Linked DNA regions of Oreochromis niloticus. The protein of the gene in region 3 purifies or fractionates together with the protein of the main gene of each other region. This does not show direct contact. Links are inferred from orthologs where the notes say so. Each region holds a gene or a part of one and is shown on either strand. Other genes may lie near its edges. The genes, in order: ap1s1, ap1m2 and ap1b1.

The links.
Region 1: the proteins of ap1b1 (region 3) and ap1s1 fractionate together in Homo sapiens (co-fractionation; 6 studies listed by BioGRID and IntAct, with this or other methods). This does not show direct contact. The link is inferred for Oreochromis niloticus from reciprocal best matches to the Homo sapiens genes AP1B1 and AP1S1.
Region 2: the proteins of ap1b1 (region 3) and ap1m2 purify together in Homo sapiens (affinity purification with mass spectrometry; 3 studies listed by BioGRID and IntAct, counting the BioPlex papers as one, with this or other methods). This does not show direct contact. The link is inferred for Oreochromis niloticus from reciprocal best matches to the Homo sapiens genes AP1B1 and AP1M2.

What each region holds. Positions count from the first base shown.
Region 1 is NC_031967.2:1,997,060-2,004,658, reverse strand, and holds the start of ap1s1 (AP-1 complex subunit sigma-1A), read right to left. Parts: upstream 3,100-7,599; 5' UTR 2,898-3,099; coding exon 2,895-2,897; intron 676-2,894; coding exon 497-675; intron 1-496. Other genes in the region: serpine1 (plasminogen activator inhibitor 1), read right to left, coding at 6,376-6,419, 6,510-6,593, 6,930-7,016. UniProt on the Homo sapiens protein: Subunit of clathrin-associated adaptor protein complex 1 that plays a role in protein sorting in the late-Golgi/trans-Golgi network (TGN) and/or endosomes.
Region 2 is NC_031971.2:24,606,271-24,614,308, forward strand, and holds the start of ap1m2 (AP-1 complex subunit mu-2), read left to right. Parts: upstream 1-4,960; 5' UTR 4,961-5,152; coding exon 5,153-5,194; intron 5,195-7,548; coding exon 7,549-7,705; intron 7,706-7,839; coding exon 7,840-7,907; intron 7,908-8,038. UniProt on the Homo sapiens protein: Subunit of clathrin-associated adaptor protein complex 1 that plays a role in protein sorting in the trans-Golgi network (TGN) and endosomes.
Region 3 is NC_031977.2:18,689,621-18,697,148, reverse strand, and holds the start of ap1b1 (AP-1 complex subunit beta-1), read right to left. Parts: upstream 3,075-7,528; 5' UTR 2,974-3,074; coding exon 2,947-2,973; intron 2,380-2,946; exon of another isoform or gene 2,357-2,379; intron 1,169-2,356; coding exon 1,108-1,168; intron 1-1,107. Other genes in the region: gas2l1 (GAS2-like protein 1), read right to left, coding at 6,999-7,528. UniProt on the Homo sapiens protein: Subunit of clathrin-associated adaptor protein complex 1 that plays a role in protein sorting in the late-Golgi/trans-Golgi network (TGN) and/or endosomes.

The DNA.
Region 1 (7,599 bases), on a different chromosome or scaffold from region 3:
TCTACCACTGTGGTGGACGTGGGCCTATCGTCCCCATCTATACGAAAGCAGCTTCTCTTTCCGACAGACATTAATTTTGATGAAATACTCAAATACGTACAAATATGTAATTTTCCTTCCCACGGTTTCTTTCTTGGAGACAAAGCACTGCCACATCTCATCTTTTTTACATGTTTAATACTGCGTTACTAACATTCCTTTTTAAAATTTCTAAACAATAAAGGCTACTGCCTAAATGTATCACAAGTAAATGAACCTGAGAACCTGGCACTGGGATAAAGGCACTAGTGCATTTCTTTACAGTTTCTTGATAATTAGTGAAAAATCAACAGCAGTTCATAGCATGAAAGAAAATGAAACTGTAAATATGTACACTAGAAGCAACTGTCAGTAACATTAAAATGAGAAAAGATGAAAATAGTGTAAAGAAAGTACCACAAGAAGCAGGTGATGCTGTGATGAGTACAAAATGCAGGACTGCCCATGGCACTTTTACCTTTTATAGACAATCTTGAGGTCGCGCCATTCTAGAAAACTGCACATCTTTGGTTTGCGGGCCAACACTATCTGCATCAGCTCCCTGACCATCTTCTTCTTGTCACGCTCAGCTGTGGCTGTGTACCACTTCTGCAGTCGCAGCTTGCCCTGCCGGCTGAACAGCAGCATGAAGCGCATCTACATGCAAAAAAGACAGTACAGCATTTATGAGAACATGTATTCAATGTGTAAGTATATGTCAATACATAAATGTGACAATTACAATTATTGGTCCAGTACAGGAACTTTTCCTGTTAACTGCATTCTTGTGACCAATTATGAGTCACTTCATCACAGTTTTTTATACTTTGCTCTTTTTGTAAACATTATTATCAAGTCTGACATCATTAATCATTTCTGTGATCAAATGCTCTTTCAATTCCCAAAAGCAAAGAAATACTGGGACGTCATTAAGAGTTAAATATGGTCAAAATTATTTCAGCTCCAATAAAATAATCAGTGCGCCTGCCCAAGTGTTCCAACATCATGACAAAGAGGATAAACAGGAGGGCCCTCCTATTAATAGAGGCAGATGCCATTATATGGTAGGAAGAAGACACCAAAAACAGATAATTTGGTTAGTTATCAACATCTTGCCATGTGGTCTGGATTACTTGCTTAGAAAAAGTTCTGGTTCAAAGTTTAATACACAGTGAAATCTTAGTCAGCCCAAGAGAATCAAATCCTTGGTGACCCATAAACCACAGTGTACACTGAGTTTTTAGAAAATTAAACCATGTCAACAGTGCACATCTTTTAGAGCACACGGCAGCTCGTGTCTGCTCAAATAACAAAGCAGCGCACCATGTTTGAAATCCAGCACAATAGATGCTTGGACTGAGATGTGCTGCATTCAAAAATCAAGTCTATGACATTTTGTGAGACTTTAACTTGTGGTAAACATTTCAGTAGACATATACTGCAAAAAAGAGAAGAGCATGCCAAATTGTTTTCTCAAATGACAATAAAAAAAAAACCTTTCTAATCTCCACTTGGTGTCTGATTGTTATCCCATATCTACTTGGTCCAAGGGAGTGTCACAATGGAACAAGTAGGGAGTTAAGCCAGCATTATAATCTAGCCTTTTTAAACGATATAATGTTAAAATGAACCAGTCAAACCAAACAAAGAAATAAAAACAACTTCAGGGCTTTCTATAATAGGCTATTTAAATTCCAGTTCACTTATCCCATGCCCTCCAAATCCCTCAGTTGATTAATGCAATTTCTCTCTGATACATCCCGAGTACACTACTGAAAAAACACAAACTGCCAGTTCAAAAGTAGTAGGTGAACAAAGTGGAGCACTCAGAAGTTGAAGAGTCAGTTACCTTTTTCAGGTGCTGGGAAGACTGAATTAGGACTAAAAGCAAAATTAATAATGAATTTGGTCACTAAAGACCTGCACTAGGACGACAATCTTTATATATTCTTTTTGAAAGTCTATAATAACATAATGGCCATGGCAAATTTACACTCCTGTTGTATATGGCGAGTGTTTCATCTCATCATCCTATGCTGTTTTCCCACGCCATACTGGCAAAGAAAAGGGAGGAAGTGACATCAAATGTCTATAATATTTTGGTTTGATATTACCTCCAGACATAAACGTCATGTATTGCATTTAAAGCACTTAAAGCAAACACTTCAATCACATAATGAAACCACAGATATAAACTTATGCTGTAATGTGTATTACAGGTATTTTAAAACTTTGCAGACATGGCAATACTAATCCAGCATATCACTTATTATGTTTACTTCCATCTGCCTGCTACCAGTCTACAGTCTATTTGGCAGGCATGACTGTGGGAGGTATGGTTTCATAAAAGATGAATGTTATTGTTTCATCAGTCTAGCCAGTAACAGATGTCACTGTAGCAGGTAATATTAAGATCACCAGTCATCTGGCTCAAGGTTTTGGCCATACAGAGTTCCAAAAACAATTGAGCTGAGGTTAAGCACAAAGTTAGCCACATAATGAAGCCTATTTCATTACTTTATGTAGGCTGGCAGAAAGTAACAAGCACGCCATCACCTTCGTTGCTGACGATAACTAAAACCTAAAGATAAACGAATTACCTGCAACGAGGGCAGTCACACTAGTTTGTCCCGTGTCTGTCATGCTAAAGTTTGACTAACATCACACAGACCACAAGCTGCACGAGAGCTATATACAGCGTAAGAAAGATGAAGTTTCACAGGTTATGCTGGCCTGTTAGCTTGCAAGGCTATGCTGACAGAAGCCAGGTGTAGTTAGCGCAGGTGGTGACTTCCTGGAATCATACACCTTGATAGCATTAGCGTAGCATACCCTCCACATACACTTTTCCCTGCAAGTGAGACGTAATAACTTACCATTCTGTGGGGGTTTTAACGTTTGTGTCTCGTTACAAACGGACTCTACTCCCTCGTTGCCCACTCAGACCTACACCCGAACTAATGCCGAAAGTTCATTCCCGTGTGAGGTGCTCAACTACTGCGCTTGCAAAAAGCGGAAACCCTTCCACGATCGTTGTTTCTGCCAAAGCGCTTCCACATCCGAGGAGCATGCGCACTCCGGCACGTCTAACATGACGTTTATGATTTCGTCTCACTTCCGGAGGGTTCGAATGATTTTACAGTGTATCGACTTTAGTGTTACATCCTCACTGTGTATGACTGCGGATACTGACTCCCTGGTATAGCTTTCAAGTACGGACCTTAAAGCGGATAACCCGTAAGTTAGAGGGGAAATGCCATGTCACCAATTTAGAAGATCTCCATGTTGCCTGGAAAAAAAAATCTGCTCAAAAAAAGAAGAAAAAAAAAAAAAAGAAAATCGGTAGGATTTTTCATCGTCATCATTCATTAAACACCGAAAAATCCCAGGTTTCTCTTCAGCACTGTCAGAGCTCTGCTGAGTCAAGCATTCCTTTAACTTTAACTTCATTAATTTTTTTTAAAAATGAAATTTTATCTATTGAAGAACAAATACTCACAACCATAGACATACTATTATTTTAAGCTACTTTAAATGTCATTTATATTTATTTATATCTGTCTGAAATAACTTTAGTAATGGCTTCCTCCAGGTCATCAACGTGTCCATTAGACCCCATTACCCATTCTTACCAACTGCTCAAACTATTACAATTAGTAAATGCTTTAATCTTGAATATGATCATCTATCTCTATTAATAGGCTATGTGCAATTAAGGTGGCAATAATTAAACTATTACTTAAAAAGCAGTCACTTGATCCAGCTGTCTTAGGTAATTATTGACCAATCTCTCAGTTGTCAAACAGCTGACAGATCATCTGCAGAGGAATGGTCTATTTAAAGAGTTTCAGTCAGGTTTCAGAGCTCATCCCAGCACAGAAACAGCTTTAGTGAAGGTTACAAATGGTCTTCTTATGGCCTCTGACAGTGGACTCATCTCTGTGCTTGTCCTGCTAGACCTCAGTCCATCGTTAATACTGACCACAGTATTTTATTACAGAGATTAGAGCATGCCATAGGTATTAAAGTACGGCACTGTAGGGGTTTGAATGATATCTGTCTGATAGACTCTGTTTTTTCTTTCATGTAAATGGAGAGAGTCCTCTTTACACACTAAGTTTAATTATCCAGTCTTTAAGTGATGACGAGATGAACCAAACTGGGTTCAAACTACTCTGTGTTTAATAAGGCTGTTGTGTTTTTAGTTTTAAAGTTTTTTTTAAAACTTTAATTTAAAGTTTTAATTTTTTCTGTTTTGTTCTATTTATTCTGAACGAGCCCCTAAAATGTCAGTGATCACTTTCAGCCTCTCTCAGTTTTTATTACCACTGTTCATTTTAAAGCTCAGTTTTTAAAACCTTATGATGTAACTACAGCCCAGCCCATGCAGCAGTATACACCCTGACCTTGTATAATGTGTGTGTAGGGACCAACACATACACTGCATTTAACCCATTCACCCAGTGAAGCAGTGGGCAGCCACCAATGCAGCACCCAGGGAGCAGTGTGTAGGGACCGTACCTTGCTCAGGAGTACCTCAGGGTAGCCGTTCAGTGGATTCAAACCCCCAACCTTCCGATCATGGGGCAATCACTCTACCTACTGAGCTATCTCTGCCCTATCCCTGAAGTTTGGTCCGTTTACAGCATCCTGCCATGCGATTGCATTTGTCCCTAACCATCGGGAACCCTCACGTTAACTTTTATCGAGTGGAAAAAAGTTTTATCCTCCAGCTTCACTGTGATAATATGTTTATATCATGCTAACCATAACTGTGTTTTAATTTTTTCAGAAATCTCTCAGTCAGAACATGATATATCATGTTTAGGTGGAAACTAGCGAGCTAACTTCCTGCTAACATCTAACTCCGTTAAACTTCATAAATTCTGTTTTCACAGATGCCTGGTACATTAATATGTATCATTGACAGAAGGTTTGGGTGTGTCTCCCAGCACACTCTCAAAGCATGAAGGAGATTTTAACAGAACCGCTCCTTTGTCACAGTAGGAGCAGAATGAACACTTTTTGGAGCCTTTGAATTCGGCCCTCTGTAGGTTGAAAATCTTCATTTCCGTTGAGATTACATATATATATATATATATATATATATATATATATATATATATATATATATATATATATGTATACATGGAAGTTAATACATGGTGTCACCACTTTTATTCTTCAACACAGTTTGAACTCTCTTAGGCAAGATTTGTGATTTCTTTAATTGCTCTTCAGGAATAATCTCTAAATTTCTCAAAAGACCTGTTGAAGCTCTGCTTTGGCTGTTTTTTGCCTGTTCTGTGTCAAGATAATCCCACACAGATTCAATAATGTTGAAGTGCAGGCTCTCAGTGTGTTCCACTGGGTGTTTATCTATGCTTTTTACTGCATTGGCGGTGTGTTTGGGATCATATGATGCTGAAAAATGAAGACCTCTTGCCTCATTTTCACTCCAGTTCTTGTGTAATGTTTCCCCTTCTTAAGAATGGCTTCCTGACAGGTTTTCTTTGCTTTGGTGAATCAGTGTCGGGACCCCACCCCACCCCTATATCTTGCTTTCAGATACTGTTTATCTACTGTAGATAGATACAGATTTTTTTTTAGACATGCTTTTGTCTTCCACTTGTCTAGTTTCCTCAGTCACTGCACACCATGCTTGGTATTTCAAGTTTTCAGCTAATACCTATTTTGCACCTTAATGGTACAAAAATGCTGTTTCATGCCAAACTTATGTTTGGCAGGTTTAACTAAAGAAATGGGAACATAACATGTCTGTTATGTGTAGACACAATACTGATTTGTTAGATGCCTTTTGATGCTTGAATCAGGGGGAAAGCAGAAAAAGTCAGTGTTAACCTTTCAAAGAACTGTTCAAAGACTGCAACATTGTAAAAAATATAGTAGTTTAATAAATATAAGCATAGTGACAGAAATAAAAATGTAAGAACAAAACAACCAAAAAATATGAAATATAATTTTTTAACAGTAATATAAAATAGTAATATTAAAATATAACTCTTTATAAATACTAATGCATCAGCGTCCCTCCCTTTCAATTAAATCACTATCTTTTGTATCAGAAACAGGTGAAATACCTCATATGTTCACTTTCCTTTATATCGCATTATGTTTTATCAGCCAGAAACATTCAGAGAAATAAATAATCTATAAAGAAATATTTTTTTAAACAAAATCTCTTTCAATACTGTTCTAAATAAACTTTCCAGTGATTTAGTTTGCAGTTTCAAATATGTCATCTGATTTAAGTAGTATATGTCAGATATGTCATCCATTCGATGGCCATTATGTGGAATTTTAGTAGTCTCACGCAGAGAGTGGGCTCAGAGTGGGTTACTGTTGAGGCTGGTTGAAGTGACCCATGAAAAGAACAGCACCTAAACATAAAAGGGAGAACATTAGAGAGCCACCCTACCTGGATGATCAGCAGTCTGGTATTGTAAAATTGTATTCTAGTGAAAGGTTACCTGTGAGTTTGTGCTGGATAAGGAAAAGGAAAGGTCGGTCTAGAACGATCTCCTCTACTGCCATACGAGAAAACATGACAGCAGCTAAGAACAATGAAACAGAAAGGGGGGGAAAGGTCAGTGTTGGGTTTATGTGGGGACCCCATTTGGACCCCTTACATTATCTTCAAATAGTTCTCCTGATACATTTTTTTGTTGAAAAGTATTTGTTACAATTTGATTAATCACAAAATATGATTAAAATATTTTCTCTGCATCTATAAATCAATAAGACCTCTGCTTATGTTGCCTATTTTCAATATCCCCTTTTAGCTTACATCATATTATGTTTAATACTTAGACAAAATTTAAAAAAAAAAAAAATCAATTGTATCGCCTGTGCCACAAATAAATATATATAGAACTGAAAAATGAGGGTACCTGTTGATGCTGCTCCTTTGGTTCCCTCTTCATTCACCTCAATTTTCAGTTTTTGCAGGACCTTTGACACACACAGCCTTTGATCCACTAGAGGGAAAAACACAAAAAAACAAATGAATAAATTAAGAATAAAAAATTAGATAAAAATATGTTTGTTTGTTTTCATTATGTAGTTTTTTTTAAAACCTTCATTTTTTTTATCTGCTTATTTATAATCCGTCATTAAGGCTTAAAATGCTTCAATTTGAAATATGGACCGTCTTTATTGACAGGTGACCACAGGCTTTTAAGGTGGTTTTAATTAAACCATTACTTTAAAAGGATTTTATTTCTTCATATGTATATATATATATATATATATATATATATATATATATGTATATATATGTATATATATATATATATATATATATATATATATATATATATGTATATATATATATGAACCAGTCTTTCAGAGATGATCACTCAGTTTTTTTTTTATAACTGCTCTTTCAAGATATATGTATATATATCTTGAAAGAGCAGTTATAAAAAAATACTGAGTGATCATCTCTGAAAGACTGGTTTATTTAAAAAGCTTTAGTCAGGATTAAGAGTGCATCATAGCACAAAAACAGCTTTAGTGACGGTCATGAGCTATCTTCTCACAGACTCTGACAGTGGACCT
Region 2 (8,038 bases), on a different chromosome or scaffold from region 3:
CTACATGTCTAAATGCATTGAGTTGATGCCATTATGACAACAGCAGTTGAAAAAAGTGGCTGGTGAGTATAATTCCCAAATACATATTAAAACTTAATACAAAGGCAAAGTTTATGAGAGTAATGAATCAAACAAACAAACAAATAACAATAAAAATAAACAATTTTTTGGGAAAACGGTATCATTGTGCTCTGAAAGCTTTACTCTAAGGTATGCTGAGTGAAAGAGAGTAACAGTCATCCTAACCCATATGTGGTATACTTCTGTATTCTGTGCAATAAACAAAAAAGGTCTTTCTATAAAAGCTAAAAGGTAACATCATGATAGGACAGAAGGAAGTTAAGTGAGTTTTCCTCATAAGACTCAGCTGATTTTAACAGAGAAGTAATAACATGAATAAAACTAAGTCATAAAGGTTTAATTTTATGAACTGTGCATGCGGCACAAGTATTACTCATGTGATGGTTACCTACATTACTATCTATCTGTTTGCATATTAGAGGGACATGTCTCCTTGCAAGGACAAGAAGCAAGCCGTAAAACATAAATAACATAAATAATTATTGGACTTATTTTAGGATTGTGTTTATGACTTGGCATGTCATAAAAAAAGCTAAGGAGCTAAAGCGTGATTTGACGTCACGTTTGGGCCCTGCTCGTACAATGGTATATGCTGCATCATCGTCACGTTGCCTCACTGGAAAGCTGTGGTATGTTGTCTGTCAAGAACTGGGATCCACAATCCACCTGAAAATGTCCACACCCAACAGTCTTGCATCTGCTCTAGGCCAAATGTCGACTCTATATTTGCACAATTGCTTTTCTGTCAGCTTGTGGTTGCAGTTTTGAGTCAAACGATTTGGCCTGGTTGCACGTACAGTAAAACAGCATATCCAGAAAGCTAAACCTTATTTTTCCATCGTCACCAGCATCATTGTTGACAGTCGGATAGTTTGCTTGAGAACCATTGTTTGTACACCCACGAGACAATAGATACCCTTAGGGCTCAGGTGACTGGTGACACCTGTTCCCTGCTGTGCTGGCTGTCATCTGCATCTTCTAATCGCCTCACAATTTACATATGTTTGTTGTCCTCCGATTGGCCTAGTGGGAAAAAAAAAGGTGGAGCTCAATCTCACACCACTGATTCGTAAGCAAAGGGGGAGTGTTTACGAAAACCGGCAGTGGGAGGAGATGGGTGACAGATGGAGAACAGATATTCCCCTGTCAGGTTACCAAACAGAGTACCAAATGTCCCGATGGCAAGGTAACAGCAATAACCTGTTTTGCTTTTGTTTGACAACGCAGAGGCCAAACGGGTTGCCCATCTCTCGGCTGATACGTGTGCTGTAAAATGAAAAGCTGTTTGTTTTAACACACTGTAAAATGAGGGGGCTCCATTGAATGAGGAGAAAAGTGTAAAGTCAGGTACATCTCTGCTGGACAGTCGACATCCGGTCCAAAGCTAGCACTCACAGCCTTTATTTTCACTGATATTAGTTTCACCCTGAGCCACCATGCTGAGTTCAACCGCCCTGATCCCAGCAGCCTCCGTTTGCTTTCGCATAGAGCTGACAGTCAAAGTTTTGGTGTTTCCCATAGAATCATGATATTGTATTACACTTTATCTCACACATCCAAGCTCACTAATGTTTCTAGCACCTGTGGAGAGATAAGGATACAAATCTCGAGTCATTATAAGTAAAAAATTAACTCTTATGCTTAGCTAATGCCTAAATATGGTGAATTATAGTCAAACAGTGAGTTTCATCAGTAAGAATGCACATTGCTGTGCTGTATATTTACCATGTTCAGGTGAGTTTTAAGGCTATTTTGCATAGTACAAAATACCACCCTACTGTATCAGGAGATATCATGGGAGCATCATGTAAAATAGCAGTTAAAAAAATAGTTCATTAATATTAATCACAATGATTAAGTGGTTTAATTTGAGTGGTATTTTGCTGAAATTTCTTACATTTGCTCCTGATTTTAAGTCACATTAAGACAGATATGATCAGAGTACTGAAGATCATTCAAACCTTTTCTATTTTATATATAAATGAATGTATTTAAAATAATTGTGACTTCATATAAAGGCAACAGATATATTTCCAGTGTCATAGTAAGACACTTTAGATCCTTCATCTTTCAAGGTTGCCCCCCCCCCAAAATGTACCAACTGTTAGAACTGACGATGATCATTTTCTGCTGATGGCACTGTGGAAAACTCTGCACGGCAAATAATATTAATAACGTTAGGGCATTGTGAGTGATTGTTTTGCCAACAAAATGCAGAAAAGGTATGGGAAAAGAGAAGAAAATATATATATTCTATCCAAATAAAATAAAACCATTTTTAAGTTTTAATTATTTATTTATTTGTTTTTTAATTTTGTACTCAGATAAAAAGCTGGGATCTAAGATTAATATCCACTTTGGCTACAACATAGCAAATAATAGTTAATGCTCCACTGAATTTGAGATTCTGCTGAACATTTCAGGTCAAAACCAATCCTCAGTCATGCTCGCTTTCTTAAGCTGACATGGATACAATTTCCAGTGGATGCAGATTAAAACATCTGAAGTATTTTGATACAATTAGGAGTGGGCAAACTGTTGTTTTGCTGGCAGTTAAGTGTGTAAGCAGCAGGAAATTATTTTTCTTCTCGTCTGACTAATGCTTCCCTATGCTTGCAGCCGTTTCTGTTCTGCCATTGTCATTTCTGTATAGTTCAGATAACATCAACTAATGACGGAGAGCCAAACACGTACTCTATTTTGCACACTGCTAAATGTTGAAGGAAAATACAATTTTAAAAGACGCTGGTATCTAAAACTACAAACATTTCTAGACCTCGAATTTAAAAAAGCTGCACAATGCTAAGAAACTGTAGCGGTGCACGATTTTAATTAAAATGCATGATATAAAATGACTAATATCGTGGCGCACCAGCCTATTCTGAGTCAGTTCTACTGTAGCCTATATCCTGTGTGAATGCAACATGCCTAAGGTGTGCCTTTTTTTTATAGCTAAGATAAAGTAATTTATCATTAGAAAAAATAGTGACGAGATAAGGGGAACCAACCCTATATTGTCAAAAGGAGTGGGATACTGGAAACGGCTGATCTCCATCTGGTGTCTTGATGCAAATGTTCACACGCGCATGTTATTCTAAGGCAAGCCTCTTTACACACAGATGATAAGTGGAGGCTGAGATCTGAGGCATAATACCACACGGAGAGGCCGAGCTCCCGAAGCACGTGAGCAGAAAAATGTTTGTATAGCCCTGAAGCTAAAGACAGCATGCCACACTCGCAGATCAAGGTAGAACAGGATTTAATCTTCGGGGGATTAATAACACCCAATGTGTCATTTAAGAGAAGAAACAAGTTGAAGAAATGTCATATTATAAATGTCAATAGTGAATACAGAAATATCAAGGTTAAACAATGAAAGAATTACTGCAAACAAATCAAAGAAGAATAATCTTTTAAAAAGCAACAAGCGTAAACCGAGGTCACCACGTGTCTCAGATATGTTTACATTGGATTTCTGTCTTCATGGGGTTCTTAATAGGGCTCATAAATGTGTGCAATACCTGTGATTCCAAGTATAAGTGCATGTACTACACTAAAAGTAGAGCCAAGGTTTGCTGAAGAATATTTCATCTGATAGTGGGTGAAAAATGGATTTATGGAGGAATCCAGAAAAGATTTCAACATTGGTAGGACAAACAAACTCTAGGCAGAAAGTCCAAGCAGGGTCGAAACAGGTGACAGCGCCAAGCAGCACTGCACCACCAATAAGCTAATAACCACCTAAGTAAAATTTGTAAAAATTTGTATTTACATGTAATATTTAGAGACATGGATAGATGTTTTGCATGACTTTTGAATTTTGTGTCTAATAATTGATCTGTATACTTCTTTTTAATTTTATTTTTGGTCTTCTGTTTGAATTTTTCAACTTTCAAAGTACTTTTATTAATATTATCATTACGAGAAGAAATGGTAAATGGCCTGTATTTGTATAGCGCTTTACTAGTCCCTAAGGACCCCAAAGTGCTTTACACATCCAGTCATCCACCCATTCACACATCGGTGACGGCAAGCTACATTGCAGCCACAGCCACCCTGGGGTGCACTGACAGAGGCGAGGCTGCCGGACACTGGCGCCACCGGGCCCTCTGACCACCACCAGTAGGCAGTGGGTGAAGTGTCTTGCCCAAGGACACAACGACCGAGACACATCGAACCGGCAACCTTCCGATTACAAGACGAACTGCCAACTCTTGAGCCACGATTGCCCCTAGAAGAAGAAGAAGAAGAAGTATAATGAGTTCAGTCTTTATTCTTTCTTTAATCTTTATTCAGATTCCCCTGAGTTGTTACCGCAGCGATAACTATGCTTCCTAGGGTCCACAGATAAAAACAACACAAAACATCCAACCATCGATCTACAGACAATCAACCAATAACTTAAAAATCACAATTACATCAATAAAATAAAATAACAAGTATTTCCTTTAACATATACAACAGTCACACAACAACAAGAAAATATATTACAGATGCTTAAAATAAGAAAATGTTACTTGCGACTTAAGATTTAAGCTAACATCATACCTACCCACAATCTTCACAGGTGAATAATCAGGTGTGCTTAAGAAGTGCTGCTTTTACTGCTTCTGAAAACCCAATTCCAGTTATAAACGATATAAGTTTATGGCATTACTTTTTAACTGGTAATATGAAGCAGTATTTGGAGGGGCTGGTAGGATGGACTCTTATTTGGAAGAAGAAGACCAACACTGAAAAACCTCTCGATCAACAAAGGTCACGAGGTCACACACTTGTCGCGGTCCCTGCTATGATTTGTCGGTTTGTGGCGCACTCTGGCGGCTAAAGCGGGGAGCACACCCTTCCTGCACTTCATTTACTCAGGTGAGCTAGTTAATGTTTCACCTGCGTGCAGTGACGTCACTGGACCTTCAGGAAAAAGACACCGTGGAGTCCGCGATCAGCCCGACCGGAACGGTTCCTGACATTTTCAGGACAAAGCTGCTGCAATAAGTCTTGAGTTAGGCTTTAAACTCAGTTTCGGCGCTTCGTGAAATCTCACGCTGTTGGTCCCCCGGGTTCAGACACGATGTCCGCCTCCGCTATCTTTGTGCTGGATCTGAAGGGGAAGGTAAGAGCAAAGCTCGAGCTAATTTTAGACAACTGATAATTACTTATTCCTGTGCGCGTGGCAGGAATAAGTAATCGGTTTTGGTTACTGGGTTGAATTTTTTGGTGCTCTTTTAACTGTTAAACATTAAACGCGTTGTTAAAAATTAATAACAGATCTTGCGACACACTCTTTCTTGTATTTCTTATTTTATTTAACTTTTAGTTTTCTACTTCCGGATACATGGCAATGTAAATTAAGCTTTAAACAATGGAAGCGAACGCGTGTGGCAGCACATGTAGCCTTCAGGTAGATAGTTTGTGTCACCGTCACGTTTATGTTTACACAGGAGCCTGCATGACTCTGGCATGACAGACAGAACATGTAACTTTAGCCTCGAGTTAGTGTTTCTCGTGGTTTCATGTTGTGTGTGTGATCTGTTACATTTTATCTACTCGAACCCAAGCTCAATCCATACATTTTGTTTTACCAGCAAGTTTCAAGGTTGGTTGGTTTTGCATGTGTCGTTTCCAAGGCCAGTCAACACTGAGATGGAGAGGGGGTGTACCGAATATAGATCTGTTTTTGGAGGGGTCTGGATTCTGATTGGTTAAACAAATCATCATCAAAAACTTATATTTACACTTTTATTCCCTTACACCTAAGGTTCCATCACCAAATAATAATATGTCCTTCTCATGCATGACCTGGGTGAATTAGAATGTTGTTATACATGTCATGACACAATCAGTCCCATCAACAACTAAAAGAAAAATATTTATGGATCCTAACTTTATACTGAGCTATCAAAAAGACTATTCTCTTTGAGCTTTCCACTTTTTAATACTTTTAAAATGAAGGGGCAAAAAAAAGGATGATTATTTCCATTCAGAGTAGATTAGCAACCACTTCAGAATTAGAATCAGAATACTTTACATAATTTCCTTAGAGAGTATTAAAGGACAAAGAAATAAGTAAGAAAAAAAGTTAGAGTAAAGAGAAAAAGCAGGAGCAACTGAAACCGGCTGCATGCTGGTGGACACATGTGCACAAGGTTTTCTCTTCCACTTCTACAGGGATGTGAAAACAGCATAGAAATTTAGTCTACTTTATAGCTAGAACTCATAATAATAATAATATTAGTCACATTGTAACTAATCATTGTAATTATTGTCTCCGCATCTGTGGTAAAGTTTTGTCATATTGGTGATTAAAAGCTTTAATTTTCTGCTATTATTTTACTTATGACTGGTATTTTCTTATATTTAGTGGTTTTGTCTTTTGAAATTGCCGTTTGCCAGTTTGATTTTATTTATCTCATAATCTGATCATTAAAATTTCTTTTCCTGTCTGATCAGTTAAGGGAAGACAGTTAAGCTGTCAGGGTTCAAAATTTTCGATAATATGCTTTTCCCCAGGTGATTACTTCCATTAAGAAACATTTTTCCGGCTGCTTCCTTTGGAGTCTGCCACAGTGGATCATCTGCCTTTATCTCACCCTATCCAGTAGCATCCTCATCTGTCACACCAACCCTCACCATGTCTCCTTTTGCTACATCCATGAACCTCCTCTATGGTCTTCTTTCTGTCTGACAGCTGCATATTCAACATCCTTTGCCCTCCTCTTTGCACATGTCCAAACCATCTCAGCCTCACCTCTCTGACTTTGCTTCCAAAGTGCTCAGCTTGTCCTGTCCCTCTGATGTGCACATTTCTAATCCTGCCCAACTTGGTGGTTTGTGTATTTTAACGTGTATTAAATGTACATAACAGGAATGTGAACGCTGAGTAAGGCCATGTTCCAATTTCTTGTTTACTTTTATTCACACATCAGAATTTATAGGTTTAAATGTGTAAATGAAGCCACGTTTAATTAAAGAAAATTAATTTGTGTAGATAAAGGCTTGGGTTTTTTTTAAGGATATTTTAGTGTTTTAACAGATAACACGTTTGTATAAGAAATATTATGAATAAAAGACCCAGAACCTTAAAAAAAGGTTGATGTCTGAGTCTTGTCTTAATCTCTGTGACAAATTTTTATCATTTTGTCCCACTGTTAGGGACAAAATGATAATTTGAGAAGAGTATTTCTTAAAAATAAAGACAATTTTAATATTTTTCCTCATCAGTGTTGTTTAAAATCAGTGAGCGTAGTTCTTTCTACTGAGAATCACAAGATCAGTTGTTATTATTGTGATTATATCCAATCATTCTCCTAATTGCTTTTCCAGTTGAGGGTCTGTGTGAAACTGCTATTGTAATATCCATTGCCTTCCCATCATTGAACAAAATGACACTAGAAGTCATTCTATAAGTAGTAATTTCTATATTAACAGTTGTCTCGTAACCACGTGCTGGTATTCTTCCTTCTTCAGGTGCTGATTTGTCGGAACTACAAAGGCGATGTGGACATGTCAGAGATTGACCACTTCATGCATTTGCTCATGCAGCATGAAGAGGAAGGTCTTCTCTGTCCCGTAATGTCACACGGCAACGTTCACTTCATGTGGATCAAACACAGCAACCTCTACCGTATCCCTGTCCTGAGTGTTTAATGACATCCTTTGCAGGCAATGACCATTAGCAATCATATGAAAAGATGAGTCCTTGATTTTTACAGCAGTGTTTTTAACTTCAGAACATTCCTTGACCTGATCTCTATACAGTTGTGGCTACAACAAACAAGAACTCCAACGCTTCCCTGGTGTATGCATTTCTTTACAAACTAGTCGAGGTGAGCGATGCCTAGTGTGGTGAATAATATAAATATTTCCTGTTGCCTGTGCATCCTGTTTCCAAAGAAACGGTTTTGTTGTTGTGGGACATCAGTGAAACATGACAGTCAAAGATGGCTGTAATCCAGAG
Region 3 (7,528 bases):
GCATTGAGCTTATTTCAGACATGTGCAGAGATGAGGAAACGCAGGACTTTGTGTAAACACAAAGCCAGTAAAGAACACAGTGTTATTAAAGCAGAGTGTATACAGTGTGTGTCAAATATAACCACAAAAGGAGTGTGTTTGCCCATTTGTGTTGAATTGTACACAGAATATTTTTATTTTTTTAATTTGAGAATCTTTGAGAATCACGTTTAATTTAGTTTTTATTGCAGTCTAACTCAGCTGCCTAATTAGGGTACAAACTACACACTGCAAGCAAACTGCAAATTATAAGCTTAAATTTGAATCTGCAGACTTAAGTATTTCCCAGGCAAATTAATACTCAAAGTCTCTTTTGCATGTGAGCTCCACACTGCACAACACAGCATTAGGCAGATCCACAGGGGGGAACATTTTGAAGGAAACTTGTTCTTATGTCTCAGGTAATCCTTAAAAACCAAGGAGTCTGGTACACTATCATTTACAAGCATCTGTTTATATTTCTTAAGCCCTGTGTGTGAGAACAAAGAGGGCTTCTAGGCTTTCCCAGGGCAACATTGTGTGAGGGGAGCTGCTGAAATACAAGGAGGCCTAGCAGTTATCTCACTGAGAGCTAATTCTCACTACGTCTTATCTGATATACAAAAGCCAAAGCTCTTGTTCTTGGGAACAACTTTGATACAAAGCTGTCAGATGACATCTTTAGGTACATTTTTTTTGTTTTGTTTGTTTTTTCCTTACTTACATCTAACTTATAGTTCGGTAACATTGCTAGTTCTACCAGAATATGCATGCTCTTGAAACAAGTAAATGTGCTTGGCTTCATAGAGTTGAAGTTAGTAAATACATGCCAAATCATTTTACTGGGAATCTACAAAACTTTAGTTTTATCAGAGAGAAAAAAAAAAACATCTATTAATTACTTTAACAACCTGGGAAAAGGTTAGGTCCCCTTTGGTAAAAATAATAATTTGGCACAGCCCAGCTCACAATGACAATAAATCCCAAAGCACTCGCATAAATATAATGTGTAGGTACCAACAACAATAATTATAATCTCACACTAAGGAGTTTACCATGTTAAATCTTCTAAAGAACAAAGTTTCAAACCTTTCTTAGTAGTGGTGAAGTACTTGGAGTCCGTCATCTTGGATCCAAATTGTCGATTCTCCTGCAAACGAATGACAGGATGAGAAAGATGATAGCGAAATCTTTTCCTGACTGGAAACTTGGAGCATCACGAGAACAACAGGAAATACTAGAAATGCAAGCACAGGGAAATAAAAGGAATTCCTGTCTTCTCCTGAACAAATGGTAGGGATCTATCGGAAATCAAAACAATGGATTCTGTTAAGAAATCAGACACTAATATCTCCTCTTTAAAAAAAAATTATAATAATAATCTTGGTCAGCACGTATGGGGCCAACAATAACTCTTGTCAGCCAACATTCAATGTTTTCTTTTGGGTATCATTAGCTATACTTCCTCATCCCGTTGCCCTCAAGGCACCATTTCATTTTATTTTTATTTTTTTTAAGTTTAAGGTACAAAGATGCCTGCTTGACAGATTTCAGAGAAAACTGTAAAATATTAAAATACTATTGGAAAAATAAAACCTGTGTTTTTACATGAAATTTTGACATTTTTGGCTCATGGACAGCTGGTCGTTTTTAGGAGGTCTCCACAACAGATCATCTGCCTCCATCTCACCCAATCCCTAGTATCCTCCTGTCACACACTCCATCCATAAACCTTGTCTATAGTCTCCGTCTGTTCATCCTGCCTGGAAGCTTCATATTCAACATCCTTTTCCCAATGCATCCACATCACCTCAGCCTTCTAACTTTTGACTCCAAGCTGCTCGACCTGAGCTGTCCCTCTGATGTACTCTTTACTAATCTTATCCATCCTGGTCAATCTAAATGAAAAGCCACGTTTAATTCTGCCACCTTTAGCTTGGCCTCCTGCCTGTTTGTCAGTCCCACCATACACTCTTCCTGTAGTACTTCTGTCACTAATCAGCCCTGACATCTCAACTACACCCATTCCACCCTGCCTGCACCATCCTCTTCACCTTTCTTAAGCACTGGCCAATGTTTAGGTTGGCGTCAGGTATTTAAACTCAACCACCTACACCTAGTAGCTTCACTGGACAGCAGTGTATATGTTTAACATATATATGGCTTGTTCATACCAACATTATGTGGAATTTGTCTCTTTAAAGTCTTTCTGATATAGAAAAAAGTTAGTATTTCCTTGACTATGCACTGAATATCTATTATTACTGTGTTACAAATATGTAAAAATACTTCTGCAGTGAATAAACAAACCCATAAAGATTTCATTAATCGAACTTACATTCAGTTCAGTCAAATGGTAGAACACAGAAAGACAGAGAGAAATTTCCTTCACAATATTCCGCAAAATAACCCTTTAGTCTCTTTAAAATACGTCTACATTTATGAATGAATTCTGTTAGACTGACATGCTAACTTGTTATTAATGGTACTGAAATACACATTAACTAGAGCACCGGGTTTCAGGTACCAGTCGACATCCGACAAGTCGCTAACTAGCCACAAGTTAACCAAAACCGAACCCAACTGTCGACGTAGTTAGCAATACGTTAGCCGATTACGATCCGTTTGTACGATAAAGCACACTGCTACCGAGCTAAATTCACACCGAAACTCTCGTGTACTCTTACGTAGCTTCTGATCTTACAACATAAGTATTTAACAAAAGCTGTCGTTAACTTATACCGCTAGCTAAAACACAAAGTTGAGAAAATGTTCTCTAGCTGGCTAGCATTAGGCTAGAGCAGCATTAGCATAGCTGGCTCGAGTGTGTACGAAAGGAGGCACACTTAGTTGAGTAGTTAACCCAAAATGAGCTAAATTGCAGCCGATAGTTGCGCATTTAACAGTGCATTTCAATCCACTACTCACGCATAACTGATTTGCCCACTCCTGCATGTTTGCAGCAGTTAGAGTAGATGAATGAAGCTAATGCTAAAGGATAGCAGCCTGGTGCAGTGTGCCTGTCAGTGTCAGCTAGCGCCTGACCACTTCTCTGGCTAGCAAAGCTGAGACATGACCTTCTAAGTAGGGACTTAAGGAAGCCTTTGCCGGGATAGTTAAGCTCTTAATCTGTCGGTGTAATTAAGACCTTACTCAACGAATTAGCGTACCTTCTGGCGTTAAAATTAAACTCGCCATACAGTGAATTCAGCAAGCACAAATATCTTACCGTGACAAGCGTAGCAGTTACTGTGATGGCCTTCGTCCCCTCCTACTTGATTTACTTCCGTCTTTTAACAAAATAACAACAGGCAGGCAACGTCAGCTCTCATTCATACAGGGCTGGTCATAATGAGACAAAGAAATTCAGGAACTCTGTCAACGCTGTGCGCTTTTCTTTTCAGCTCCAATCCGGCTACTTAAATCTACATACAGAGTAGGTAACTAAATATTCACTTTCACTAAATAAATAATTCAGACAGTTATCGTAAGAGCAAAGGATGTGTAAATAAAGTGAGACCCAGTTTTGAGTTTATTAGGAAGCTGATAAAACACTACCTAAATACAATAAATAAAATCTATGGCCTAAACCCTTCAACTGATAATATTATGCCAGTGTTTTGTGTATCCGTTTATACTGTATTGAAATAGCAAGTGTTTATGTGCATAAATGAGGCGTTAAATGAGGATTACCAAATACTAATTTCTACAAAAAGATAGCACTTTGGTCCACTGTTGCATGACAGCAAAAAGGTCCTGCTGTCCAGTCATCTCTGAATGGTCTGCATTCTCTCCCTGGGTACTATAGTCTAAAGACTTGTCAAGTTAACTGGTGATTTTAAATTCTTGGTGTGAATGGTTATCTGTGCCTCTTGCCCTATGACAGCTGGGATGGGCTCTAGCTCCTAGGGCTCTAATTTCCAGACTGACTAAACACTGGAAGGTTTGCTATAACAAAAGTTTAATACAAAAACGTCACAAGTTTACAATATTTTTGAATCTATAATTATATAAGACTATGTAGGGATTAGCTGAATTATTTTATCCAAATAAATAGTAATAAAAATTGAACCTTCCAAGCACATTGTGAGGAGAAACAACTGCAGCATTTTAACTCCATTTTGAACTTCACAAAGCAAAATCTGCAGGACGCATTGCCATATTTAGTCGTGTCTTACTTATGCAACAAATTATTTATTATGTACAAAAATATAGTGAGTAACACTGTGCATGAAGAATAACAGAAGCACTTCTTTGCTTTTCTCTAACATGCGCTGTAGCACAGAAAATCCAGTCACTGCTGTGCCAAAAGCTACACATGAAAAAATGACCAGAGCATCATCGTAAGCTTCAGAGCAAAAGATTTATTACAAGAACAACTTGACAGCATTTTCAAATTCAGAAAAAAAAAGTGAAACATTGCAGTATTGCTATTTCATACACAAAAATTCCACAATGTCAAGCAATCTGTACATTTAACCAAAGTTTTAGTGAAAATGGCATCTGATCACAAACATTCGGATTTCGCTGATTGGGGATACGGAGGAATGAGCGTTTCATAAAATCCCGTGTAGGCAGAAAGAGCGGATTAGGACAATCAATCGTTTTAAGATTGTAGAAGTCATGGCTCAGTTAGCCTGTACATTTAAAACACCAAATACGTGTTCGAACAAGCCAAAACAAATGTAAAATGAAAAGAATTAAGAGTACATGTTATAATGTGTTTATACACGCTAAACTGCCCACTGGCTACATATTGCAATCAATGTCGCTTTAACAATACTGATACATCATGAATCATTTGTAGCAGTGAGGAGTCAGCGCATGATAAAATTACTGTATCTTTAAGAGATGGGACACATAAATAAGTTCACTTTGCCTTCAAATCACTCTCATTTTTAACTGACAACATTTCCACTGATTCTGTCTGTCGTCTCGAACTTGGGAAACAGATGTCACTTGAGCCCATGAAAGATGATTTCATAAATAAATAAATTAGACCAGCACTACTTCCCTCTTTACTTCAAATCTGTACATATTCCCATACAGTATGTACACAAAGATATACACACTCTCCTTTCCCAGGCCATGCTCTGTTGGTGTCCAGCAAAAACAATTTTATCAACATTTTCTTTTCCTTGCCTCCACATTGTGTGGGAAACAATCATTAAATATTAATATCAGTTTTTCCTTCGCTCAAATCCAGAAGCTCTTGAGATTCTATGGTTTCTGGAGCCCACTAAACAGTATACCGCTTTCCAACTTTACACCCTTCAACACATGCTAAATACCAAAAAGCTAGTAATGTAGGCTCTGTAGCTGGAGTCTGGCTTGTCATATTGATGACAATTGTGTGAGAGCTTCACAAAGTAGGCTCAGTATCCAGTTACAGCATCCATTATTCATGCACCCCTGCACACATGCAGACACTCGAGTTAAAGCCAGTCAGTCTTCATCTATCAAACCTTACCATGTCATACCAGACCATTATTGGCTCTAATCAGCACCAGGACATTTCAGTATCATATCAAAACAACATTTTCTACCACTGAATAAAACATTTCTCTCTTTTTTTGCCACTAGATGTCACCATAAATTGCGCCACATTATTGAAATCCATCTGTTAAATAGGCGATAAACAACCGAGGGAATTCAGAGGAAATACATCATATATATGGTTTTCATTATTTGCACATCCACCTCGGGTATAACTTATAAATGAAACTGGCTGGTAATGCTTTTTTTTTTCTCCTTCACATTCACACCCAAACTTTCTAATTATTATAAACAGTTAAAGATGGCAATGTAGTGTTACCTAACAGATTTTAGTGATGTTTAGCTAAAAACATTTAAAAAAAAAATGTAACCTGTGAAAAATTGTTTAAGGCAAAGGGAATTTTCAAGGCATTTTCAACACCAGTATTGCATAGCTAAGAACTGAATACAGTGAATATGTACATTAGACTGTATATTCCAAGCCTTGTCTTTACAAAATACCCACTCTCAGCATGTATTTACACATTCATTCTCCTTAGCATTTAATTCCAGAGTACAGTTTGGTCAGAGGAGGAACTCAATATTTAAAATGTCAGCGACAACTATATAAAGTAATATAACCTTCCCCCATGCTCCTCATATTTTTGTTGTACACTCAATGCATTTAAATTAAACTTTTTAAAATTTTACTGCATTAAACAAAATCTTAAAAACCGGTAAGACATTAAGCATTCAAACAAAAAGCATCTATCTTGTCTAGAACAGCTTATTATTATGAAAAGCTGACACTGTTAAATAATAACATGAAACAACTGTACAGAAACTGGTAGTGTGCATAATGTTCATAGAGCCAGAGATGGGTGTACCTTAGTCTATGTTACTGATTACTGTAATGTGAGTATAGTGAGTCATATATGAATACCACTAATGTGGACAGACTGAAAACATCACAGTCATCATGCCAGTATTTTCACTATAAGGCAAGCAGAAGTGCTATGGCAAACCACAAGAGGGAGCCAGTCTGCATGACTCAAGGACTAGTGTTTACATCGTTTCTAGACTTGCAGCTTTAAAGCCCTGGCACTTTACCATGCCCCCTTAGTGAGGCACATGGCAGCACATATGCTCTCTCTTTCTATTTCTGTGTATCAACTGTGAGAATTTCACTAGTGACTTATAAAAAAAATAAAAGATTGGCAAAAGCATCCCCATGCACACATTAAAATTAAAAATTACAGTAACATAAAGACCATTCCTTTGGTAATAAATAATTTGGCTTGAGTGCAAAAAAAGCAATGTGAAGCCCTGCAGTTATTCAGGGGAGAACCTAAATGGAGAAAAAAAGGAGCGTTTGACATGCAGTAAAAACTGTCTGTAGCCCGTTTTTATCTTGTTGGGTTTTTTGTTTTCTCTTTTTTAAACACAGTAGTTAAAGTTCATGACAACAACCCCCTCCCGTGTACTACCCACAGTTTCGTTTTGTGCTACATCCAAGCTTCAGTGTCCACGCTGCCTGACTGTGTAGGGTAGGCGCAGTCTTTGTTGCCCATGGCTGAGGAACGAGGATGAGGATGGATCATATCAGCGAAGGCCTGGTGCAGGCCCTTGCATGTGGCTTGGCGACTGGTAGGATGGGAGCTCTGAGGAGACAGCGGTGGGGTGTGGCAGGGGGACAGAGTGTTGTTCGCCTGCAGGTCTCTGTAGCTGACGGGGGTGGGTATGCGCGAGGGGCCGTTTTCGGGCCTGTTGTCAGTGCGAGGCCTGAACCGGCCCCCCAGTTTGTGCTTAGGGATTGGGTCAAGCCTGTTTGCTCTCTTTGGCCCTTTCTTAGTCTCCAGCATTTCTCCATCAGCGTCCCCGTTAGTCAAGGGCAAATTTGGTGGAGGGGACTCTGAGCGGGATTCGCTCAAGCTGAAGCACATGGAAGAGTTTTCACTTGAGGAATCCTGGAAGGAGCAGTCCTCAGAGAGGGGAAGGGGCAGAGATGATGGACAATCCTCAGGGCCTGGGAGGT